Kluyveromyces lactis: one gene and its partner. The protein of the gene in region 1 interacts with the protein of each later gene in a pairwise test. Links are inferred from orthologs where the notes say so. Each region holds a gene or a part of one and is shown in the gene's direction. Other genes may lie near its edges.

Region 1 (5,789 bases):
TACCAGTTGCAGCAAACGGTAACTGCACAGCATCATATTTCTATTTGGCCCTTTTTAAGAGTGATAGAGGGTATTTTTAAGGCCAAGATTTCTACCGGCCAAAATGACGCTCATGAATTGACACAAGTTGTTTTGCAGACGTTGGAGAACGAAAACTTGGCTCTACAAAAATTTGTCAAGAATCACTCGTTGAATGTCATCATACCGACTTTCCCGGTACACGGATCGCTGGCTGATAGTTTATTCTGTTTAAGCTGTGGTGAATCTTCAAAAGTAAACATTCATGAGTTCACGATGTATTCTTTACCAGTACCACAGCTAATAAACGCGGATTTGGCTCAAATGATTTCTGATAATCAAACAGATCAAATCAGCGGGTATTCGTGTTTATGTTGTAAGTTGAACGCGATTATCGCAAATGAAAAGAATAGAAATTACCAAAACAATTCTGATGAAGAAAACCAGATTTTGAAGGAGTTGGAAGAGTTATTGCCCAAAGCATTTATTAACGATGATTTGGCTAGGAACTTAAGTACTTACATTAACTCTTACGAGAAAGGTGGTATCAAGACGTCAGAAATCAAATCCACCATTGTCAAGAAAACTGTGGTTGTTGATTCGCCAGATGTTTTGATTCTTCACTTGTCGCGTTCGGTTTTCGACGGGATGGGATATCAAAAGAACACCTGCAATGTTTCTTTCGAAGAAGAATTGGTAGTCAACCGCCAAGTTATTGAAAACAATAAATGTGTTGGCATCAGAAAGGATTCATATAAGTTAAGGTCGATGTTGAGGCATCAAGGTTCTCATTCTACCGGTCACTATGAATGTTTCAGACACAAACCAGAGTTTATGAAAGACATTGATACACATCAAGTCATTAGCAAGACACCAATGGTGGACTTCGGTATTGCGTCGAATAAACTTGCAGCTGAAATCTGGAATCAGGCCGTTCTGAACTCCTCTAACAAATCCGATTCTTGTTCAATCGGCTCGGAAGATTCAATCTCCTCTAACGTGCCATTCAGATCTGTTTTCCTGGACTCACCAAACTCTGCGATTGTTACTGATGATGATTACGTTATTGGAAGCTCAGAGTTCTCTAACGACGCAGATAATAAGGGCCAAAACAACAACAGTGGTTCTGGAGTTTCAAGGACGCCATCCACTTTGAAAAGAGTCACTGGTTTCCTTTCGAGAAAGAGTTCTGTCTCGGCAGCACCGGATAATAACAATACTAGCAATATACTACCTGAAATTAGCAGTTCACCCATGGCTTCATCATCTTCAGAACATAGAAACCGCGCAAGATTTAACAGTGTCTCTTCTATGACGACTGACCGCAACGCTTCGATATTATCTAGTAATGCTAGTATCGACTCTTACAGTACAGATCAAGTTACTAATACAAGTGCTACCGAAGTGGAAACTGAAACAGATTATGACGGTATTTCAATGAATGTCAACAAGAAGACAAAGAAAAGAAGATTAAAGAAATTGAAAAGTGTGGTGAAATACCCATGGTGGAGAATATCTGATACTAAAGTTAAAGAATATAAAACTTCAGATATTTTATCAGAAACTAAATTCGTTTATATGTTGTACTATGAGAGGGTACCAGTAGTCTAACCTGGTCAGTAAGCAAATACTGGAACCAACATAACAACAACCAAAAGAATAAGAAAAAATAGAAACATAGACATATTTTACTAAATTGCACAAGCGGCACCTCACCGCTCCGAATCATTCATCCTTTGTCAATTAACTCATCGATTTATGATGACCACAGGCCATGTATTACTCGATTAATTAGTTTTAGCACTTTTACGTTAACCTTATATACATATACTGTACGATCTTTAAATTTCAGATCATGTGACCTCTAAAACCCTTCTAGAATGAAATTCTTCCTTTCCTTCTGCGGGTTGATGAAGCGAGATGAAAAAGGATTGACATGAATAAAGAGACGAGTTTCAGGAATTCATAATAACAGAGTTGATAGACGAAAGCTGCAACACAAAGGCAAAGGCAGTCAATAGTGGGAAAATGTTGAAGGTATGTAATAATGCGCGTGGTATTGTCTTATGTTTGGCAATTTTGACGTAGTAGCGGAGGATTTCTGACTTTGTTAGAGGCTGGAAAATTTTTCTTTACTGAAAGAAGGTAACCACATGAATATTGCAACGTGAAGGCAAAATACTAACATATACTATGATCATTGGTTGGTGATTAAATTGAACCAATTATCTAATTTCTGGAAATTTTTGGAATAGAATTTCAAATTGAAGAAAGACAGTGTGAAACAGCGCATAACTTCTGCGGATATTTCCGGACCTACTCAAAGTCCAGGGAGCTCAGTGCAAAACGTAAAGACCATTCCTATCAGGCAATTATCTACATCATCACAGCTATCTTCGGGGTTTACAAGTGGAAAATCAAAAGATATCTCGTCTCCAGAAAAAGTAATCAAAGCGTTATACAATTACCAGGCACAATCAGCCGGTGAATTATCATTCAATAAGGGAGACTTTTTCCATGTTCAGCAAGAGGAGAACGATTGGTATGAGGCCTCCAATCCGGCGGACGGCAAGAGAGGCATGGTTCCTAAGAATTATTTCGAGATTTTTGGCAGAACAAGGCCAAATTCGCATGCATCACCGGTGAAAAGTATAAATAGAAATGGATCTGTCGGTAGTAATCAGTTATTACAGCATCATCAGCAGCAACAGCAGCAACAGCAGCAACAACAACCTTCCAATATGGGAACTCTTTATGCAATTGTACTGTATGATTTTCAAGCAGAAAAGGCAGATGAGTTAACAGCCTATGCCGGAGAAAACTTGTTCATTTGTGCTCATCACGATTTTGAATGGTTTATCGCTAAGCCCATTGGCAGGTTGGGTGGTCCCGGTCTAGTTCCTGTTGGTTTTGTGACTATTATAGATATAGCTACTGGTTATGCCACGGGAAATGATGTAAAAAGCGATATCGAATCAGTGAATCTACCCTCGGTCCAAGAATGGAAGATCAATATCGCCCGTTACAAGGCTAGCAATATCACACTAGGTTCAGTGGAACAGCAGGGTCAGTCGTACGTGCAACACCGATCACAATCCAGGCAAAATTCACAAAACCGTCAACCACACCCCAGCACGCAGCACTCGAGCGCTGCCAATACAACCTATCCTGCTGATGCCGTTTTCCTTACCTACGCTGCAGTCGAGACATTTTTCCTACAGGACGATAAGTATTGGTTCCAAGTCTCGTGTCAGTTATCCAACAACACCACGCGTATTTTGAAGCGTTATTATGAAGATTTCTATGATTTACAAGTAAAGCTACTCGATATCTTCCCTGCAGAAGGGGGTAAACTAAGAGACACTAATGGTCAGTGGACGAAACGTATAATGCCATATATACCGGGTCCAGTTCCGTATGTGACAGATACCATTTCAAAAAAGAGAAAAGATGACCTAAATATATACGTGAAGGATTTGATTTCCCTACCGCCGCATATATCACAATCACATCTGGTCAAGGGTTTGTTTGCCGTTAAAAATAATGGTTTTGACCGTGAGATTAGTAATGATGAAACTGTGGAGCTTGACGTAAAAGGTAGGGCTGATGATTCAACTCTGACTAACCAAGAACTACAACTTCCAGAGGCAATGAAGAGACTGTCTCTGATTAATAGCGCTTCCAATGCCAGTGCTAAAGTCAAATCAAGGCCGCCTAGTGGTTTCGCTCCGAGAATAACTGATGAAAAGCCTGTCAAGATCAAATTTTATTACAAAGATGACATATTCGCCTTGATGCTGCATCCTACCATTACTTTTGAAGAATTGTGCAGTAAAATAGCACCTAGAATTGACGCAGATTCTTTTAAGTTGTACATCAAAAACGGAGATGATATTGGCACTCAAGTCACTACTGATGCAGAAGTACCGGTTCTAATTCAAGAGAAACGCAAGATCTTTGTCGATGACAGCTAAGTTATTTGTTGCAAAATTTTATCGTCATAATAAATAATACAAAAAGAACCCCAAGGTGGTCAAAATTCAATTTCTATCCACTGATGGCTTTCATGCTTATCATAATGATGTACTGTACATCGCATTGTAATACTTCAACATAATTTTGACATTAACACTCTTATATTCTTTCACATTAATTCAGTTCAACAAGTAAAAATCAGTTGTTTACATACTCTCTCTATAGGTGTTAATACTTCTATCAAAATGATAATAATACTTCACAAACATGTCTAAGGACTATTCATCCAGCTCTATGTCCATGTCTGCATCCGCGTACGGATCTGTATCGAGATCCATGTCAATGTCCATGTCCGCATTGTGATCAAACTCATCATTTCTATGCATGAGATTCGGTGCCAGATCAACTCTGGAATCTGCTGCAGTCTCAACATTCATATCTACTTCATCTAATTTTGGACTATGCTGTTGGTACCATTTTACCCACAAGCTTGCTACCACAGATCGCCAGTCATACCATTTTATTACCTGCGAGTTAAACTGTCGTACATGATCGAATATTCTTTCATATATCTTATCATTTTTGTTTGAACCACTCAATTCGCGTTCAACTACATCCCACATCCTTTTATTTACAACTGCTTTGAATGAGTTCAACCCTGAATCAATTTTATGTTTCTTTATCCCATCGGTTCCCCTAGGAGCCAACGATAGGTTTTCGAAATCATATATTAGCCGTTGTTTCTTATAGTTATCGATTCCTATCGGGTCAGGACTCCTTGACCTCTTCATCTTGAAGCCTGATGACATTGTATAGCTAATACCTTGCTCATTCGCAGTGAACTATTCTAAGCAGATGATCTGTTCGCTGCTACTTTTGTAGGTGTTGTTTCGTTTGTCCTAATTTATCTTATGGCCAACCGAGAACTTTCTGGAAGCTTAAAATGAAGATCATTAGAAATGTTTGTAAATTCACCCGTTAAGAAAGTTTCGTAGATGAAGCTGATACTACAGGTACTGGTTATCTTTTTCTTGTTAGATATCTCTTGATCGAGCCTTCAATATTGCCTTTAATATGCTTTTTTTCTTTTGTTTCTTCTAAGAGATATGTATTTGATCTTCTTCATAATTAAGGGTTTCGAATGTCTTTTTCATACTGAAACATTTAGTTCACAGCAACTTGGTTTACTTCAACAACGTTATAAGAAAAAGTTTATGATTTCTATCACTGCAAGCTTGTGAATCATCTTTGGACCTGCTCATGTATGGCAATTGAGCTATGTTCCATACTCCCCCATTTTCTAATGCTTCTTTCGATACTAAACAATCCATCACTGAATCTTATCGCGATAGTTTGAATTCGACGATTTCCAATAATAGCGATGCAAAGAAACCGAATGTCATGCTTCAAACTGCCAGCACATCGGCACCTCCATCACCAGAACTACCAATAGAATCTTCAGAATCCAATGATGATTTGATTCCCATTGCTAGTATACCTGATGAATTGATGAAATTGATTGATTTGTTCATTGATGATTTGAAACAGCCTAAATATTCCAGGCCTTTAATGATTACACAATTATCTCAGATATTCCAAAGGTTTTATGAGAGATTTGATAGATCTTGCCAACAACATTTTAATGCATTAGCCTCGCCTGGAAGTGTGAATGTTATGCTCAACGCGAGAGAAACGAGAAATAGTGGATTGAGTAGTATCTTCAACAGATCCAGAAGTAGTAGTTTTCGAAATAGCAGCATAAGAACAAGAACTAGAACTAATTCTGAACAGAATTA
Region 2 (4,257 bases), on another chromosome or scaffold:
TAAACAAAGGAGAAAGGCTGATAAGGATCATATTGTCACTATGTGCCTAAGTAAAGCGACTCAGTTTCATAAGACAAGGTCTCATGAACCAGCAACGTTCATTTTTGATAAGTCTAATGATAGATGTATTTACTACCAGGATATCCCATTGGCTAGCTCTAGAGAAAAAACTACCATTGATATTGATCCTGAACTTCTGGAAGGTGTTGACGAGTTTGTGTTACGCAACGATTTGATTGATTGCCATGTAGATATCTGTTCTCCTCATGTCCCTGCTATTTTCCAAGAGAATTTCGATTACCAATTCTTGAGAAGAGATTTTGTTAGAGGTGTGCTTTCTAGTGATTTGTTGAAGAAACATATCTACGGGTACATTACCGACGAATACACCACTAGAGCAGAAAGTTGGCAAACGTATGATGCTATCTCGCAAGATTTTATTGCTAGATGGTGTTACCCATTGGTTCTTAATGCCAACCTTTTAAAGGGCCAAACTTATTCATACGAAAGCCAACACATTTATAAGGAAAAAGACGTGGTATTAGCGCAGTCCTGTAAGATAAAGAAAAACACGGCCATCGGCTCAGGATCCAAGATTGGAGAAGGTACAGTCATTGAAAATAGTGTTGTTGGTAGAAATTGTAAAATTGGCTCAAACATCAGAATCAAAAACAGTTACATTTGGGACAATGTTGTCATTGATGATAACACTACAATTGAGCACTCTTTAGTTGCTTCAGATGTTAAATTAGGATCAAACGTCACCTTGAATGATGGTTCCATTATCGGATTCAATGTAGTGATTGACGATAATGTTACAATCCCAGTTGGAACCAAGATTTCAGCGGTTCCAGTACAGAGGAACACAGCTCAATTCTTAGATACAGCACATAATCTTTCTTCCAGCGATGAGGACGAAGAAGGAAGCACATTCACCAGAAATTCATCTTCTTTATCAATCAGTAATTCCGATGAAGTTGCCGATGCGAAGATTAAACTATCTAAGCAGTTGGTTGGGCCAAACGGGAGAGGCGTACTATACGAAAGTGATGATGAGGATGAAGATGAAGATGGATCGACCGAAAAGGGTATTGCGAACACATTAACGTACAGAGACGATGACATTTATTTATCGGATACTTCCATATCATCCATCACTCAAAAACATAGAAAGAGGAGAACCATGTCGATGACTAGTATCTATACTGATTACGAAGGAGAAGAAGACGAAGAAGAAGATTTCGAAAAAGAAGCCATCGCAACAGTTGAAAGAGCTATAGAGAACAACCACGATTTAGACACATCAATGCTTGAACTAAACACTTTGAGAATGAGTATGAACGTCACTTATCATGAAGTCAGGAATGCTTCTGTTATCGCTATATTCAGAAGAGTTTACCACTTTGTAGCCACACAAACACTAGGTCCAAAGGACGCTGTCACTAAAGTCTTACAACAATGGGGTCCTGTGTTTAAGAGACAAGCATTTGATAGTGATGAGTTCATTGATCTAATGAATATCATTCTGGATCGTGTGCTAGATCAGAAATTCGATAAACCAGATTTCATTCTATTCCATGTATATAATGTCTTGTATGATTTGGATATCTTAGAGGAAGATGTCATTTACAAATGGTGGGACTCTGTAAGCGGTGATTCAAAATACAGCGAAGTTACTGCTCTACTGGCCAAATGGGTGGACTGGCTAAAGACTGCAGATGAAGAATCATCTGATGAAGAAGACAGTGACGAAGACGAATAAGTCAATAACGTCATAAATGCCCTTTGAATTTTCATGGTTCCTCCGAAGTTCAAGATTGGTCAATATCAATCAATATAATGTAGCATGTAGCATTTCGAGTAAACGTGAGATAACCATATGCAAAGTAATCTATAGACAAATATACGTACGCATTTCAAGGCTAGTGTCCTCACTACCGGACTGCCAACCGCCTATGCGGTCTTCCTGTATTCTATATGGGAGAGTTTGACTGAAAATAATTCAAGTCACGTTACAACGTTACCCTAACTTCCTTATCTATTAACATATTCCCATTTCAAAATTGAAATAACAGAACAGGAGGACGAAGATATGTATGTGATGAAGGAGAGTAGTCAGACAAATTGGATGTTAGACATAGCACAGTCAGCCGGAAGTAACACCGTAAAGGCCTGCAGTGATAGTAGTATAAAAGCAAGGAAGAAAGGAATTTAAAACATGCAAACTCTTAAGTGTGTTGTTATAGGTGATGGTGCTGTCGGTAAGACGTGTCTTCTAATTTCATACACAACTAACCAGTTTCCAGCCGACTACGTTCCAACCGTTTTCGACAATTATGCTGTTACGGTGATGATTGGCGATGAGCCATACACGCTAGGTCTTTTCGATACAGCTGGTCAAGAAGATTATGATAGATTAAGACCGTTATCATACCCATCAACAGACGTGTTCTTGGTTTGTTTCAGTGTTATATCTCCTCCTTCTTTTGAGAACGTAAAAGAAAAATGGTTCCCAGAAGTACATCATCATTGTCCTGGTGTTCCATGTTTGATTGTGGGTACTCAGATAGATTTAAGAGATGATAAAGTGATTATTGAAAAACTACAGAGACAAAGGCTTCGTCCTATCACTCCAGAGCAAGGTGAAAGGTTAGCCAGAGAGCTTAGAGCCGTAAAATATGTTGAATGTTCGGCTCTTACCCAGCGTGGTTTGAAAAACGTTTTCGACGAAGCTATTGTTGCTGCTCTGGAACCTCCAGTCATTAAAAAGAGTAAAAAATGTATTATATTGTGAAAAGTGATCGGCCTTGTATTTTTTTTTTTTATTACCAGTACATGTATCAGGTAAGAAGTTTCTCACTCAAGGATGAGCGTTCTTAACAATCTTCCCGTTCACCATCAAGTCCAGTTTTATATTTATAGATGATTGTGAGATAGAGAGTGTGTTTCCAAGTTTTTGCAGGTTCAAAAGAGAAAAAAAGCTCTACCCCCCATCTCCAGAAAAAGCGTTACATTTCACTAAACCAACATCCTAAAACTACCAAAACTACTTCATAACTCTTTGACATTTCTATAGACAAACTGAAGTACCAAACGTTTGGTTCTTTGTTTGAATTCTAAACCGTCTAAAATACGAAACTGGTTCGAAGCGAAAAACTAAACACTATGGAGTATCGCTTTGTTTAAGTATAAAACCTCAACGAAATTACTCTTCGTGTGTGGATTTCATTATCTCATGATATATTTAACCTCTCAGGCTTCTAATTGACTTTTAGCTCAATAGTTTATATAAATATAAAAACATTTTCCATTTAACATATTGCTTTAATTATACTATTTGGTCTTGCAAAGTACTTTACACATCCAAAAATACAGAACTTCGGAACGTCTTATAAAATCATATTTAAACCATCAACCATATTTTAAATAACATTTAGATTCCATGCAATATTTTGGATGATGAAATGGATGTTACTTCGCATTAACCTGGGTTACCTGTAAGATAGAACTGTCTTATAACAAAACAATAAAAATCTCGGTTTTAATGGCATACGAACTCAAAATATATAATAATAACAATCTCTTCCAATGAATACACCCCCCAATTCTAACTCTTTGAAGCGCCAGCGGTAAAGACTTTCCATGCAGTGATGAATATGCAACATCTTCACTTATTCACGTGACTTTTTTTTGTTTCCTTCTATTCATTCACTACCCTCCAAGAACCGAAATTCTAAGTTCGTGAAAAACCTTCAATACAAAATACTAATATTGTAACAACAAGCGATTTTGAAAAGTGTAATTGAAGTGAGCGCTTTGAGAAAAGTATCATCAGATCCACTACGACCGTTAATAACACTGAACGATGGCTCAGGTATATGGGAATTCACGTTCCGATACGTTATTTCTAGGTGGTGAGAAAATTTCTGGCGATGACATCCGTAACCAGAACGTTTTAGCCTCTTTAGCAGTGGCAAATGTCGTTAAATCATCTTTGGGGCCTGTTGGTTTAGATAAGATGTTAGTCGATGACATTGGTGACTTCACCGTTACTAACGATGGTGCTACCATTCTCGCGCTTTTGGATGTTCAGCACCCAGCTGGTAAGATTTTGGTTGATTTGGCACAACAGCAAGATCGTGAAATTGGTGATGGTACCACCAGTGTTGTCATCATTGCTTCTGAGCTATTGAAGAAAGCTAATGATTTGGTCAAGAACAAAATCCATCCAACTACTATTATCACTGGTTACAGGGT

What was found.
Region 2: the proteins of BEM1 (region 1) and CDC42 interact in a two-hybrid assay, tested with the Schizosaccharomyces pombe proteins (3 studies listed by BioGRID). The link is inferred for Kluyveromyces lactis from reciprocal best matches to the Schizosaccharomyces pombe genes scd2 and cdc42.

The regions. Positions count from the first base shown.
Region 1 is NC_006041.1:2,075,245-2,081,033, reverse strand, and holds BEM1 (phosphatidylinositol-3-phosphate-binding protein BEM1), read left to right. Parts: upstream 1-2,046; coding exon 2,047-2,055; intron 2,056-2,273; coding exon 2,274-3,992; downstream 3,993-5,789. Other genes in the region: putative ubiquitin-specific protease UBP16, read left to right, coding at 1-1,629; KLLA0_E23343g (uncharacterized protein), read right to left, coding at 4,272-4,802; guanine nucleotide exchange factor MUK1, read left to right, coding at 5,272-5,789. UniProt on the Schizosaccharomyces pombe protein: Required for mating and morphogenesis. Interacts directly with scd1 and with cdc42. May bridge and facilitate scd1 and cdc42 interactions.
Region 2 is NC_006037.1:380,780-385,036, reverse strand, and holds CDC42 (Rho family GTPase CDC42), read left to right. Parts: upstream 1-2,218; coding exon 2,219-2,794; downstream 2,795-4,257. Other genes in the region: GCD6 (translation initiation factor eIF2B catalytic subunit epsilon), read left to right, coding at 1-1,762; chaperonin-containing T-complex alpha subunit TCP1, read left to right, coding at 3,866-4,257. UniProt on the Schizosaccharomyces pombe protein: Involved in development of cell polarity during the cell division cycle.